3 linked regions of the Drosophila melanogaster genome follow. The protein of the gene in region 2 interacts with the protein of the main gene of each other region in a pairwise test. Each region holds a gene or a part of one and is shown on either strand. Other genes may lie near its edges.

The links. Proteins that work in one complex are often made in the same cells at the same time.
Region 1: the proteins of CG5149 (region 2) and CG11474 interact in a two-hybrid assay, tested with the Drosophila melanogaster proteins (one large-scale study listed by BioGRID).
Region 3: the proteins of CG5149 (region 2) and CG8635 interact in a two-hybrid assay, tested with the Drosophila melanogaster proteins (one large-scale study listed by BioGRID).

Annotation. Positions count from the first base shown.
Region 1 is NT_033778.4:22,070,718-22,075,454, forward strand, and holds CG11474 (uncharacterized protein), read right to left. Parts: upstream 2,727-4,737; 5' UTR 2,584-2,726; coding exon 2,495-2,583; intron 2,351-2,494; coding exon 2,245-2,350; intron 2,178-2,244; coding exon 2,081-2,177; intron 1,916-2,080; coding exon 1,049-1,915; intron 991-1,048; coding exon 839-990; 3' UTR 517-838; downstream 1-516. Other genes in the region: CG11475 (uncharacterized protein), read right to left, coding at 1-462; CG2921 (uncharacterized protein), read right to left, coding at 2,878-3,187, 3,250-3,982, 4,038-4,154, 4,212-4,488.
Region 2 is NT_033779.5:7,383,952-7,390,048, forward strand, and holds CG5149 (uncharacterized protein), read right to left. Parts: upstream 4,303-6,097; 5' UTR 4,153-4,302; coding exon 4,024-4,152; intron 2,698-4,023; coding exon 2,473-2,697; intron 2,232-2,472; coding exon 1,916-2,231; intron 1,854-1,915; coding exon 1,480-1,853; intron 1,416-1,479; coding exon 1,309-1,415; intron 1,190-1,308; coding exon 1,099-1,189; intron 1,041-1,098; coding exon 936-1,040; 3' UTR 535-935; downstream 1-534. Other genes in the region: ninaC (neither inactivation nor afterpotential C), read left to right, coding at 1-236; gudu, read left to right, coding at 4,725-5,341, 5,424-6,097.
Region 3 is NT_033778.4:8,629,691-8,633,968, forward strand, and holds CG8635 (uncharacterized protein), read right to left. Parts: upstream 2,273-4,278; 5' UTR 2,015-2,272; coding exon 1,943-2,014; intron 1,817-1,942; coding exon 1,382-1,816; intron 1,324-1,381; coding exon 616-1,323; 3' UTR 517-615; downstream 1-516. Other genes in the region: Gle1 RNA export mediator, read left to right, coding at 1-385.

The DNA.
Region 1 (4,737 bases), on a different chromosome or scaffold from region 2:
GCGGTACATGTAGCAATCCGCATGCAGCCAAATTGCCGAAAACCACTGCCTTCTGTCCTCTCCAAGACCCTTGAGGAACGAGTTCCAGCTGTCAGTGTCCGGCGACTTGACGCGAATTATCTGGAACTCCCTGTTGTTGATTATATCATCGCGCAGCAGCTCCAGGCTCCAGATGGTGCGCTTCAAATCGAAATGGGCATAGTCCCCGCACTGTTCAATTATATCCGCCTCACGATCCTGTAGGAATGTGATCAAATCCCTCAAAAATGCGGGCGATCTTCGCTTGAAGGTGGCAAAAGCTAGGCTGCGCAGGAATCTGGCGGAAAGTTCGTCATTCTCTCCAGGCGGATTGTATATGATCAGATTCTTCTCGTTGAATCGCTGTTCCTTCAACTGCTCAATGGCGGCAAGATTGGTGGTTTCCGTCACATCGGTGTGGCTAGTTAAGTCAGCACTATGCATTTCGCCTAAAACGTAGAATTTCGAAGCCCTCTTTGCCAGGAAAATATTTCGATTCCAAATTAATATTTTCCTAAACTTTAATAGCCCTAATAGGACAACTGACGTTCATATGAGTGAGTGTCTGTGCTTACTAAGCAATGCCAAAGGCTTTGGAGTACAACTAAATTGCTAAAGGCAATGCAAACGTTTTAAATGTGTTTAAAAACATTTTATAAAAACTAAATTAGTCATAGTTGAAGTGTTAATGATTAAATTGAGTATAATTTCGTTTTGGATCTCGCATAGGTCACTCTGAATTTCAACAATTAAGCTAAGCTTATAACGACTAAAACAATTCAACTAGTTTGCTGTTCCTTGTCCTGATTTCCTTCTTTCTCTACTTGCTGGCAAACTGTATTACGCCATACTCGCCAGTCAACATCCACTCCTTATCCTTGGCAAACAGTTGGTCCGCCACGCCTGCACCCAATCCGCAGATCAGATCCGCTTTAATTGTGCGCAGAGTGCAGAGATTGGAAGGACGAAAGCCTTAACAGGGATATAAAACGTGTAAGTACTGGAAGAATTACTGTCAAGATAGACTCACCCCTCAAGCAAGTTTCGAAGGACTCCGTGCTGTCCCAGGAGAAGTCGCCTAACAACTTGCGATAGTTGAGGTCACCCTTGAAGATAACCAGTTGCGCCTCCTTCAGGCGGTCGTAGAGTGAGGGATTTACCTCTGGCATGCGATAGAACTCGTAGGGACTCGTCCAAAAGTGTTCCAGTGGCGAAAGCTCGAACTTGCCCTCGGTCGTCAAACGCTGCCATTTTTTTCCGACCTCACTCAGCACAGGATCCGGATGGTCGGCCAGAAATTGAAGTGCCCAGTGGAAGTCGTGCTCCATCACGTCCGAAATGAACCAAGGAATGGCCTTGGGATTGAAGCGCACCTTGGCAGCCAATCCCTTGTCGATAATGTACTCAGCCAGAATGAGATCCGTGTACAGCTCATAGCCGGCGTTGTCGAAAATGATGTCCACAATGCCCTCTCCGGAGGCTCCGTCCAGGGCTTTCCATACCTCCGCGGTGCCGTCGATTAGTAGCTTCTCCTCCAAATCCGTAACTTGGTCAAAGGCATTGCCAGTGGGCTTCACCTGTTTGCCGGAGGTTATGGACAGATCGCATCGGTTGCCCCACAAATTGAGTTTGATCAACTGGCGGAAGGTGTCCGAGTTTCGTTCATTGTGCCGCGTAGCCTTGGCCACCGCCAGCATGGCGTCCACGCTCAGTTTGGTCGCCGTCTGTTTCTGCTGGCTGAAGTAGTCGTAGGCGGCCAGATGGGCTGTGGCCCGGAAAATAGATGAGATTTTGCGGTACATATAACACTCGGCGTACAGCCAGCAGACGGAAAAGTAGGTTCTCTTCTCCTTGGGCAGTTTTTCCAGGAATGCATTCCACACTTCAGAGTCGGAATCTGAAAGGCACAGATTCGTTATTCTTATCAAAGAAATTCATTTTGCGCAGGGTAAATGAAATAATAATATATAAAACGCAATCAATTATGAGTTCAATGCTATTAAAAGAAATTAAAACAGTACACTTATATGATTGCCAACCCAATGAGCACCCAAATACCTACCATTTTCACCAAAGGGCAGTAAAGGACCGTTGCTCAGGATGTCATCCCGCAGCTGTCTAACCTCCTTTGTAGTTTGTTCAATATCGGCTTCCGCTGCCTGGAATGCAATTTGATATCAAAGGTTTAAGCTCAAGGTCAAGGTAGAAGTGCACACAACTACCCACCGCGCCATATGTGGCCAGGAGGACGTCCTTGTCCTTGACTAGGGAATCCGCGATGGTGGCCAAGGTCGAAGGCAGACGCACACGGAAGGTGTAGTAGGCAAAGCTCCTGCAATAAATGACTTTTAAGTAATAATCATAATTCAATTCCACAGCTTGGATGTGTGGGTAACGATGGGTCGGCGTATTTGTTACATATGCGCGGGCCATTTAGACACCATCTATAGTAGGCGCTATATTTAGCCCTACTCACTGCTTATAGAGGGCCGCCAGCTCGGTGTGGGGCGGGGTTGGTCCGTCCACGATTCCATTCTTTGCGTCAAAATCCGTTTCGCTGCCCATTTCGAGGATCTGTTTGTTGCTCCAGCCGAATTGTACTGCTGCGGAAAGTTTATAAATTGATAAAGTGGCGCGTAGTGTGACCGCTTTGGCGGTGATGGAAAATACCGAAATTGGAACCGATAATTTACAAGGCGATACTTTTTGAATTTTCAAAATTTGTTACTTATGTTTCAAGTTTTTTATTGTTTCATAGCAAAAAAGGTACATATATGTATATATTTAAGACGTCTTTGGCTTCTAGATATGTAACGACTATTTATTACCAATAATTTAAGCTGACCAGCCTGTACAAGATTAATAGCCAAATTCACGAGCTCCGTCAACGAACTGAATGACCCCATAACTGCCCGAGACCATCCAGCGCGGATCCTTCACACTCAGCGCCTGGCCAACGCCCTCGGGCAGGCCGGAGATAACTTCGCTCTTGACCCGCCGCAGCACACAAATGTTGCTGGGAAGGAAGCCACGGAGGCAGGTGCTGAGTTCCTGGGTGGGGTCCCAGCAGACGTCCTGCAGCAGCTTGCGATAGTTGAGCTCTCCCTTGAAGACCACCAGCTTGGATAGCTGCAGGGAACTATACAAATCTGGATCCATTTGCGCCATGCTGCAATAGTCAAAGATGTAATTAGGAGGCACTGAATATGCAGTCATATCCGGAATGCGAACCTGTAAAACGAATGTGGTGATGTCCAGAAATGCGAGATTGGCGCCAGTTCGAACTTTCCCTCATCGATGAATTGTAGGAACTTCTTTCCTATCAGACTTATAATGTAGTCCGCATGCTCACTCAAGTACTCCAGCGTCCACTTGAAGTCCCGCTCCGTCACATCGGTGACAAACCAAGGGTGGGCCTTCACATGGAACCGCACCTTGTCGGCCAGTCCCTTCTCAATCATGAACTCAGCCAGTATAAAGTCGCTAAAGAGTTCGTAGCCTGCATTGTCCAGTATAAAGTCCACCTGCTTATGCTTCTTCAGTTTAGGGTTTTCCAAGCACCTCCAAATCTCCGCTGCCTGGTTAACCAGTACGCGCTCATCGGTGTTTGCCACTTTCTCCAGCACCTGGCGGTTCGATTGCTTTACTGTATCCGTGTCGGTCGCCACATCATTGCAGTTGCTCCACATGTTGATCCTCAGAAGCTCGTCGAACACCTCCACGCTGTTCTCTGATCGTCGTGTGTACTTGGTCAGGGCCAGTATATCATCAATGCTATCCGTTAGCGCCTGCTCCTTGACTTTGGCAAAGAAATCGTATGACTTCAGAAATACGCTGTTTTCCAGAAAGGAGTGGAGTTTGCGGTGCAGATAGCACTCGGCATGGAGGGAGCTGGCTTTGTAGAAGCTGCGTTCGCCATCGGGCAGGTTGCTGATAAAGTTGTTCCAAACATCTCGATCGGGTTCTAAGAAAACAAGGCTTATAATCCTCATGAGAATTCTATGAAGCTAGGAACTAACCTTCGCCAGTAAAGTTTTGAAACGATTTGTCCGTTTGCAGCTCGTACTTTAGCCTGGAGATCAATCCAATAATGATCTTTAGCTCCTCGCGGGCAGCCTGTGAAAATTCATTTGAGGCTGGAAGAAGAAAAAGTTAATGGAGATGCCAAAAAACGCTTGCAGGGATTAACCAACCGAATTGGGCTACCAGCTCGGATTTGTCCCGTGTCAGCGTATCTATCACGTTGGTCAGGATCACGGGCAGCCGACTCCGGAGTGTGAAGAAGGCAAAGCTCTGCTTGTAATGGCCCGACATAAAGGCATTGAGAGGAGTCTGCAGGTTTACGATCTGGTATTTGGCATCGAATTCCGTTCGCAACAGTCGCGATATTTTGCTGGGTTCCGAGTCCGTTTTGCCTTCGTCCTCGGGCAGTTCGCCTTCCGAGGAAGGGTCCTTCGATAAGGATTCCATCTTTTCTTTTTTTTTGTCTGTGATTTTTGTGCGTTTACTGGTGCATTTTAGCAGAATTTACCTGATTTTGACTGATTTTTCAAAGCTGCAATCTGTTTAGTGTTGCCTAACGCACGTCACACTGCGATTATGCGCAGGACTGTTTGTGAATTTGATTTGTTAAGTTTATGCGCGAGTGTGAATTTTTTCATTCTGACTTATTTTTAAAATTATAGTTTAACAGATAAAACTCCTCATGAAAAATATTCA
Region 2 (6,097 bases):
GCTCGACAGGTCGCCGGTACCAAGACGATGAGGGCTATAATTCATCATCGGGAAACTATGGTGTGTCTAGGAAGTTTGGCCAGCAGCAGAGGGCTCCGACCTTGAGACAATCTCCAGCCAGCGTGGGTCGCAGCTTCGAAGATAGCAATGCTAGATCCTTCGAGGAGGCAGGATCCTATGTAGAAGAGGAGATTGCACCTGGAATCACTCTTTCAGGCTATGCCGTCGATATCTAAAACTAGTGATTAAGAGTAAAAATATTAAAATTAATTGTTATGCAAACCATAAGACAATTTAGCTAAAACCCACCTAAAATTCCAAAATAATGATTGAAGTTTTCTTCATCACTTTCTCAAAAACGTTTCACACAATGGAATAAATAAAATGTCTTGGGATAAATCGTTATTTAAATTTTCACTTTTTTCTTACCGCATTTCATTTTTCTATCTCTATAAACCACTTAATTATTTAGGTTATTTGTAGGTAAATGCTACCTTGGCATACTCAAACATTTAACTTTAAAGACATTGATATAAATTCAGCAATTAATTTGCATTTTATTGACGTAGGATAAAAATGGGAAAAATTCGACGAATTAACATTGCTTATTATGCTTGCTTCTTTGTTACATCATTTAAATGATTTACTTTTCTCACTTTAAGATCTAAAACGCAACAACAATACTCTCAGTATTTCATAAACTATATCCATTATACATTGTATATATAAACATTAATACCTAAACAAAAACGTTTATAGGAATGGATTGAACAAATACTCTTTTGTTCGCAGGACTTTTTTTGTGTGTTCGATAGGGATTGCAAAAAAGCTAAGGAAACTGAATTGAATCATTAACTGCACACCCATATCGGGCATGGTCTCACAAATTCTCGATGATAAAACAAAACTTTTTCCTTAAATAGTTTCACATAATATCAATCATCCATGTTGGGCTCACGCAATCCATCCGAGTGCATTTTCTTGCCCGCAATTTCCAACATGGCCCGATCTTCCAAATTGCCATCCAGCACAGAACGTTTCTATGGGTTAAAGATATGATTATTTATTTAATATAATATTGAGTTTAATTTGACATACGTGACCGTCGCCTTCTTCGTCTTCTTCTTTAACTGGTAAGTCTCCTACGGCCCAAACTTCCATGTTTCGTATTTTGAACTGTTTCCGTTTACTTGGGTACGATAAATAATTGGTAGATTAACCACAATTGTTTAAAATAATGTTGAATTAAAATATAGAATCTAGTGGTCTGTAAGGTGAAACATAATCAAGATTTTAATTTACACTCACCTCAACTGCACGTAGTCTCGATATGTAGTGCAACTTTCAACGCTTTGTCCATCGCCGAAACTGCAGTCAATCCAAAGGCCCCAAAAATCAAACTGACCGCCCATGCCCTGTATACGAAAAATATAAACATTTAGCAAAGCAATCAATCAATTAGCTATAAACATTACTCACCAGGCCATTCGGCATAGTCTGCTGATTCAAATTCAAATACTGATAGTGATTGTTATAAGTTGTGGCCGAAAAGCACCGCATGGCAGGGCTTAAGGTGTAGAGCAATGAGCTGTCATCGCCTCCAAATTGCGGTTTCACGGACCACGTTTCGGACGCGTAGCCGCCAAATATATATTGATCCTCGTCCTCAATAAAGAACAGCGTTGGTCCTTTGTCCAGCACTTTTCCCAACATCGTCGAGAAGCTTTCCCCGTTGATTTTCGATGAGAATAGAAAGCGCCATTTGTGCCGATGTTCGCGGGGCAGCTGAGCATTGATATACAGGACGTGAGGTAGTTCGATGATAGGGCGATAATGACTATTTTGCGGAGCATCTGGAAAATAGGAAAAAAGTTATAAACGATTTTAATAAATTTAAAAATTTTCTTTGTCCTACCACACAGTGCTGGCAGAATTGGAATTTCCATTTCCTTGATTATGTTGCGTTTGCTGCCACCATGGCGACAATACAGCTGGCTAAAGACCTCGCGCCAAATCTGCAAAAACTGCGGAGTGACGTGTAACCAACGTTCCAGGGCATCGTTGGGCATAGTGTGCTCTAGCTCCTTGCCCAGATTTCTCATAAGGCCCTTGGCAAATGTGGCGGCGGACCTTTCCGTGGTGTTAAAGCCAAGATCGTGCCACTCCTTGATGCCAGAGTTTTTCGCTGTACTTTCCAAGTGCACGTAGCTCTTGATCACCGAGTAGATATACTGGGGAATTATAAAATTGATTAATTCGCGAGCAAAAGATAAAAGAATTAAATAAACAAGTTGTTCATATGACAGCTAAGAAAATAAACGTGGAAATCTAGTTTTCAGGATAAACATAAATGGAGAGCTAAACCTAATTCAATAACAAACATGTTATGAATCCTAATGAGGCTCGGCTGACAGAAGTTATAAATATTATTTCCGCGATCTGATGACAATGACTACTTATTTATAGACTCACTTGCTCCAATTGCTTGCTGTTGAAGGTGTCATTTCCACTTCTCTCCATTGAGCCCAGGAGCATTTGCATTTTCTGGTCAATAGTACCGCGTTCCATGATGTAGTAGGGCTCTCCAAATTTCTTCAGCTGAAGGTTGACACATTGCTGACCTGGCTTCGTGGGCGTAAATAGATACTGAGCCGTACTTTCGGCCAGGGATCTTTCGATGGTTTGCGACCAAGTTTCCTATTTTCGAAACAAAACAACAGATACATGTATATGTGTGTACATAAACAAAATGCGCGCCGGATACGTAAACATAATTTTCCCGCTGCTGTCAGCAAATTCTTGCAGGGAACGAAGGTCTGGGAAGCGCTGACACAGATTAACCCATTGAAGGACGTACAATGAATAATAATTTGGTTTGACTGAAAACAAAGTCTCTCAAGTTTTATGAAAATAAATACTACTTCAATGTATGTAAAGTTTCAATTTAGAGAGTTTCCGCTTAAATTACTCTATATGAATGCAAGTCTTATAATTTCCTCATTCTAAAAATCAACTATTTCACATGCCATGCTGTAAACGGGTTAAGCATATGGTTTATTTTTAATTCAATTGGGTTTGGCCCTAATTGACGACCCCAGTCATTGAAATCACGACTAATTCGTTAGCAAGCAAATTCAACAAAGCAAAAGACAAACAGTGAAATGCGGCAGCAAACAAATTAGACAAATTATGGACACGTTCGCACTGGCCCAGGAATTATCAATTCGAAACTGATAACGCCCGAGTTGAAGATATCGAATTTTGCTATACCCTAGGAAGCGCTGTGATAATCAAACACGAGCTATAAATAGATGGAAATATTATAAGGAAAAATCATCATCTGGTTACAAACAAACATTTTTTGAGTGGTTGCATTTCCGTCATCTGTGCTGTGATAAAAATAAAACACAAATCTGGGGCCTTGAACCCGCATCGGAAAAATTATAGCATAAATTGTGTATGATCAGATTGATTTAACTAAATGGGTTAAAATAACAATTTTGGAAAGTTACGTGTACATTTAATCTAAATAGGACTGACTAGTTTAGAAAATTACATTTTTAAACAAGTTGAATAATTTACTTTTTATAAACTCTGTTAAATTTCCTGGTTTGCACTTTAAATCGAAAAAGAACTGTATTAAAATAAGGTTTAGAAACTTTGAACTTTTGTATAATGCCGGATAATGTTGCGACTCACTCTCTTATATAACTAAGCTTCTTTTTCGGAACATAGTACTATGATTAACTTCAATGTTTAATCCTCGAAATAGGAGTTAGTGACAACAACAAATTAATGCCCTAAAGGATATACCCATTCAAGTGAAGGGTGGCCATCGCAGCAGGTGGATGGACGGCCGTTTGTCATGCACTCGAAAGTCCCGATTTCTCTTTTTTTGCCGAAGAAAGTTCACTCCGCGCGTCCTTGAACTTGTGACCCTGACCCTTCCGCAAATGCAGAATGCAGTTGCCATTGATTTTCGCAGTGCACACGTGGCACGGTAACTGGATTTACTTGACTTACCACCAATCTGTCTTGGGTCAACTTCTCAAGTGCTCCGCCAGAGGCGTTTTTGTACGCGGATTCCAGCATGCGTAGCTCTTCCGAATTGTAGAGATTATCCGTCTCCCGCTTGCCACTCGCATTTCCCATCTCAGGACACGAAATTCAGTTGGCTGGTGCTACGACGGCTGGTAAACAAACAATGCAGCTGCAGCTGCGGATGATCGCGGATTTTAATTGAAAATAAAAAACAAACAACACAAGCTGGTGATGGAATGGCAGTCGATTTCCCTGCGATACCCTCGATAGTTTCGGAAACGGGTAAATTTCGCGGTGGTCGTCTGCACTATGAATGGTTATTGTCTGTGCTAAGTCAGGTCGATGTATTTGCTAAACGGTTAATTTTAACCGCTAAGCGAATTCAACGAAGGCCAAGCGAATAAAATAAATTTTAAATGCCTTGGATAGCTGTAGTTAAAAATTTATTAAAATAAAAAAAAACTTACAAGTTTGAGCTAAGATACCTTTGCCCTAGCCCGGTATTTTTGAAATTATCTCAGTTACCTTAGCAACACGCCTTATTAAATCAATTGCCTGGCCTAATAAAGTTCTCCCACACAAAAACACAATAAATTCCGATACAAAACTGAAGAAAGCTGGCATACCGACAGATATTTCCGGAATACGATTGGCCAAATCTGTGAGTAATCCAACGCGAAAGGATGATTGGCACTAGCAGCGGAACGTCCCACAATCGGAGTCGAAAGAAGAAAGAACAGTGCGGATCCTGTCCCAACAGATTCTCAAAGGATAAGCGCCAGGTGGCCGCCGAGGACTCGGATACCACGGAGGTGGAATCGTCTACGGATGAGGAGGAACGCTGGAAGGAAGTGGCGCGAGCCGCTGAGATTCCGGCTGACTATTATAATATCCAAAAACTGGTGAAATACATCAAGGCGGGCAATCAGACAGCCACTATAGTATCGTTGTGCTGCTTGAAGGACTACGATCTGAGCACCCAGATCAATCAGTTCGCCATCTCGGACATCGGCGGACTCGATGTCTTGGTTAACATCCTGGAGTGCAGCGACACCAAGTGCTGTTTGGGCGCCCTCAAAGTTCTCTCAGATATCACACTGAACATCGATATTAGGAAGACCATCGTAGATCTGGATGGCATTCCCCTCATTGTGGACATCCTAAACTCTTCCATGAAGGACCTAAAAACCATGGCCGCCGAGACATTGGCCAATGTGTGCAAGGTGCGACTGGCCAGAAAGTATGTGCGCACCTGCGGAGGAATCCCCAAGCTGGTGGATCTCATCGACATCAAGTTGAGGTGAGTTGGCATTGGATAAAGTGCTTCATACTACATCACCACATATAAGAAATAATTAAAAAAAAACCTAATTATATTATAGCATTCTAAAGACGCCTCGTGACCAATTGAGTCCAGATGATCTGGAATCTCTCGATATGACACGCGCTGGAGCCCGGGCTCTTTTCACTCTGGCCGATTCCAAGCACAACATGGAGCAGATGCGCAAGAGCGGAATTGTTCCTTTGATGGCTCAGCTCCTTAAGTCCTGTCACATCGATGTCGTCATTCCCATAATGGGCACCGTTCGAAAGTGCTCCTCGGAGCCGAAGTTCCAACTGGCCATCACCACCGAGGGCATGATTCCCGACATTGTGAGCCATCTGAGTTCCGAAAATACCGAGCTGAAGATGGAGGGCAGTACAGCGATCTACAAGTGCGCCTTCGACGGAACCACCAGGGATTTGGTGAGGGAGGCTGGGGGCTTGGAACCTTTGGTAACTATCATAAAGGACAAGAATGTGAGGGAAAATAAGCCTTTATTGAGAGGCGCCACTGGAGCGATTTGGATGTGTGCCGTAACCGATGCAAATGTCAAAGTGCTGGATCAACTCAGGACGGTGAACCACCTGGTGGCCTTGCTAAATGATGAGTGTGACGAGGTCCTGACCAACGTGACCGGAGCTATATCTGAATGTGTGAGATTTCAAAGCAATAGGGAGCAACTGCGTCAGGCTGGAGGATTACCAGCAATGGTTTCCCTACTCAACAGTTCTC
Region 3 (4,278 bases), on a different chromosome or scaffold from region 2:
TTACCTTAAGCGTCAAACGGGACTCGCTCGGCTCTACGCAGCTGTGATCATTAGTCAAGGGCGAAAGGCAGCTGGACCGGATGAATGCTTCGAGCTGAATGAGGGATGGCTCTGGCTAGCGCACATGGTGCATGTGAAACCATTGCCCGATATTAGTGCTACCTTGATCATGGAGATTCTCCAGACCCTCGGCTTCGAGTTGTGGCGCACCTACGGCAAGCAGTTCGTCAAGCTGCTGGTCTACATTCAGAATATCTACATGCCTCAGCTGGCAGCCTACGACGAAGGTGGTCCGAAGACACGGCTGGAAATGCTCCTGGCCAAGTTCCTGCGTGAGCGGCAGATTGCACAGGCTGTCGGAGTTTTGCCTCCAGGATTTTGGTAGGCATGCGATGATTTAGTTAGTTTTGTTAAGTGTGTGTATTTTTATAAACAAAAGTGATTATTGTAGTAATGGGACGTGTATTCATTCAGTAAATAGAGAAAACTTGCTTGTAAACGCATACGTTTCATTTCCAGAAATGCAACAATTAAGAGCCACAACTTTATTGATTGAAGGGTAGCTAAAAGGCAGAAATCAATTTCAAACTCATTTCAAACAAACTACGCGGAGGACTAGTCATCGTCCTCATCGTCCAGATCTAGGTCATCCAGTTCGCCGGCCAGATCAACAAAGAGATCCTTGTTGATGGGGGCAGCATCGTTGGCGGGTGCAGACGACGATGGGCCATCCTCGTCGGCCGCTGCGTCCTCGGCTGCGGCGGTTTTGGCTGCTTCGGTTGCCTGGTCCAGTAGTCGATTGGTGGAGGCAATGGTGCCCGAGCCGTCCACCTCCTTGGCGGCCAGCGACAGGGCAGCCAGATCCAGTTCCTTGAACTCGACGGCATTATCGTCGTCGTCCTCCCTGTTGTAGACGTCGAAAGCAGCGTCGCCCTCCTCCATGGGTCCGTCGTCGACCAGATCCGGATTGAAGCTGAACATTTCGCGACCAGAGATGCCGAACTGTTTGCCCTTGCTGAAGTCACTCTTCTTGCGCTCTTCCTCGGCAGCCAGCTTGGCCTTCTTCTCGGCAATCTTGCGCTTCTTCCAGGCGAGGAAGGACTCGAGGGTGACGCGTGTCTGGTTGGGACCGAGGGCAGCGCGCTCCTTCTCAATTAAATCGACCAGCGAGATTTCCGTGGGCTTTTCCTCCTTCTTCTTATCGCGCTTCAGCACATATCCAGCTGGCAAGGCGTGACGGTAGATGCACTTTCCGCCGTTGGGGCACTCCCAGAACCAGCCGTACTTTGATTTTTCCACAGCTTCCAGGAAGAATTTGCAAATCTGAAACACAGGGGAGGTTAGTTTTGAGTTTTAAGCAGTTTTTTAAACTTAGACCCACAATATCCGTGGTGGGACGTTGCTTTTCGCCGGAGCTCTTCTTCTCGACCACCTCCTTCAGCTTGGCATCGTCCCAGTTGGTCATCGGATCGTCCTCGTCGCGCATGTCCACATAAATGGACCGCTTTTCGACCTTGTTCTCCTGGGAAAGATCGTGGGAGAACTTGCACTTGTCGCCCTTGGTGCAGGTGCCCTGTTTGAAGAAGGCGCAGACCACCGACTTGGGATCGGTGCCCTTCTCCACCTTCTGAGTCTGTACCGGCTTGAAGATCAGCGCCATCTCGCGCTGTTCGGCCAGCTTCTTCTCCTTCTCCTCCTTGCGCTTGTCGCCATCCTGGCGAGGATGCTGTCCGCCGGACTGGACCTGCTTCTGCACCTGCTGGATGAACTTCTGCTGCTTGTTGCCCTTCTTGTTCTTCAGCCCGAAGGTTTTGTCCTGCCGATGGAATTACACTTGGTCAGTTCAATGTGGATCTTATTGAATTTCTCCCTGCCGGGTTTCCACATCACGGATTTACAAAGAGGGGGGCTCACCCATCGGCTTTCCGGTTACGAAGCCTACCTCAATGACTTTCTCCTTCTTTTTCTGCTCCGTCTTCTTGCTGGGACCTGGTGGCGCCTTTTTGGGTGGCATCTTCGGGCGGGATACGGGAATTTAATAACTTAAATGTAGAAATAAAGTTCAAACGAAGTTTTTTGCACAACCACGCTGGAACAAGAGGCCCTGTCAGTGTGACCAGAGTGCGGATGGCAGCATATCTCAGGAAGAACCGGTTATCATTAATTAATTTAACAATTGTGCTTTTAAAAATGTAGTAACTGAACAAATGATTTCTTGGCCAGCAACTTTTAATTAATAAGTGGAGTGTGCATGAATTGCACACTTTTAAACTGTGTGGTTTGAAAAAGAGCTAAGGTTTTCAGCGCACACTTAAACCACTCAATCGATGTTTACATGGGTTCAAAACTTGGCTATTTAACTTATTTCTAATATTTAATATCATACATTTTAAATCATCGTTTGAGTTACAACTTTTAAAAGACATATCGTTAAACATATATAGTAAGTGGCTGTTTCAGCAGCATAGCGACTATTTTACAGATTTTACACGAGCTCCATCTAATGGCGTCGACATTACTTAGAATACTAATGCCCTACAAGTTACCTATAATTTATATCCGATCTATAGAGCGATTCGAATAATTTTTGGTATTGGAATCTAGCTGCTTACTCCCATCTCATTAGCTGATATAACTGATATACAGGCGAAGGGAAAGACGGACATGGCCGGATCGACCTAGGTAAGGGTAAGGATCCTGGTCCAGAATATATATACTGTTCCTGTGACTTAGCATTGAAAAAATCTTGTATATATAGTATTCCCATTAAAATACCTTAAACCCTCTTCTAATATAAATCCCATCTTCCATTGCTCAAAATTGATACTTTTTTTTCTCACTGTACCATCTCGCTCACCAACACACATGCAGCAACGAGAAAGAGAGCAACGACGTGTCTCTTCGTGGGTGGCCCTTAATTCGACGTCATCTTCTTGGGTGGTCCATATTAGCCGGCCTGCTCTCTCCCCCCTTTTGATCTCAAGTGCGAGCGAGTGCGATGCATGTGGATAGGTTCCCCATTGATCATTTTCTCGTTTGATAGTGCGTGACGTCTCTGGGCAGCCGTCTCGCTCGCACTAATTTATGCCGCCCGAATGGTGGGGCGCCCATTTTTTGATCCTTCTTCTGCTGCTCACTCGCGCTCATTTATTCGAGCATAAAATTAGCAATTATTTGTTTTTCTTGCCGCCCTGTCGTCTTTGTCTTCTTTATTCCCAGCGCTCCTGGGCGATCGACGTGTGTGGCCCTCCACATCCCATTTGCGATCGGAGCGGATTGTGGGGCATTATTGGACCCTGTCTTTGTGCCGCGATTTAAACATACATATTCGGTTTTCTAGGAATCGGGCAATCCTAGTGCGCCAAACGTTCGGAAAGCTTGGCTTTATTATTATCGTTCCGAGGAAAGCGAAATTAGGTTTTTATTTCGGGTAGGGCCTGGGAATGCGGATGGAGGTTAAGGTTTGGAGACCAAGCACACACCCAGAAGAAAAAAACTTTTTTAACATTTTCAATTTTATTTTGCTTATTTTATCTTTGCTCGCAGCCATAACGTCGAGATCTTCCAGGGTGCTGTATCCGTGGTGAAGGGTTCGGGGGGCAGAGCTCCCACTATTAATACTACAATTTTGGAAAAGGTTTATTTTATTATTCTTGATTATTTCCATTGGTATTTAAAAACAATATTCTTTCTGGTACTCACACTAGCTAGATAGTCGAGAAACTTATAGCTCTTACTGTCGTTTTTTATTGATAAAAAAAATTCTTGAACTTTTTTTCGCCGACAGCAATGAGACTGCTCCAAAAATGGATATCCCTAATTCTTTTCGAAAAGTATGTATATATTGACTTTTTTCAGTTTCATTGATCGAATTCAGCCAAAGACTGACGTTTTACCCATTCACGATCTCATCTTCGGTCTTAGACAGCAAGGAATGGGCTGCGGTTAGTTAACTTAGGGGTAATCATCAGCCAAATGATAAAGGCTAGATCCTCTACTATCAGATACCTATTACTCAAATAATTTGTTTTCATACAATAAAGATAGTCTTTTATCCTGTATGTAAATCATTTATGATTTATATGATTAAAACCAATTTTCGTCCCGTTAATAAAAAAAAAAATTATTTATAAAATCTTTAAAAATATAACAGTTTATAACTATTACAGCACCAGGTCAACTTCTTCGATCCCATCTCGGATTTTTTCAAGCCGTTCTTCTCTGTAATTGGCCCAAAGAACGTAGAATTGCCCAGCGGCAGCAATAAAATTATGACAA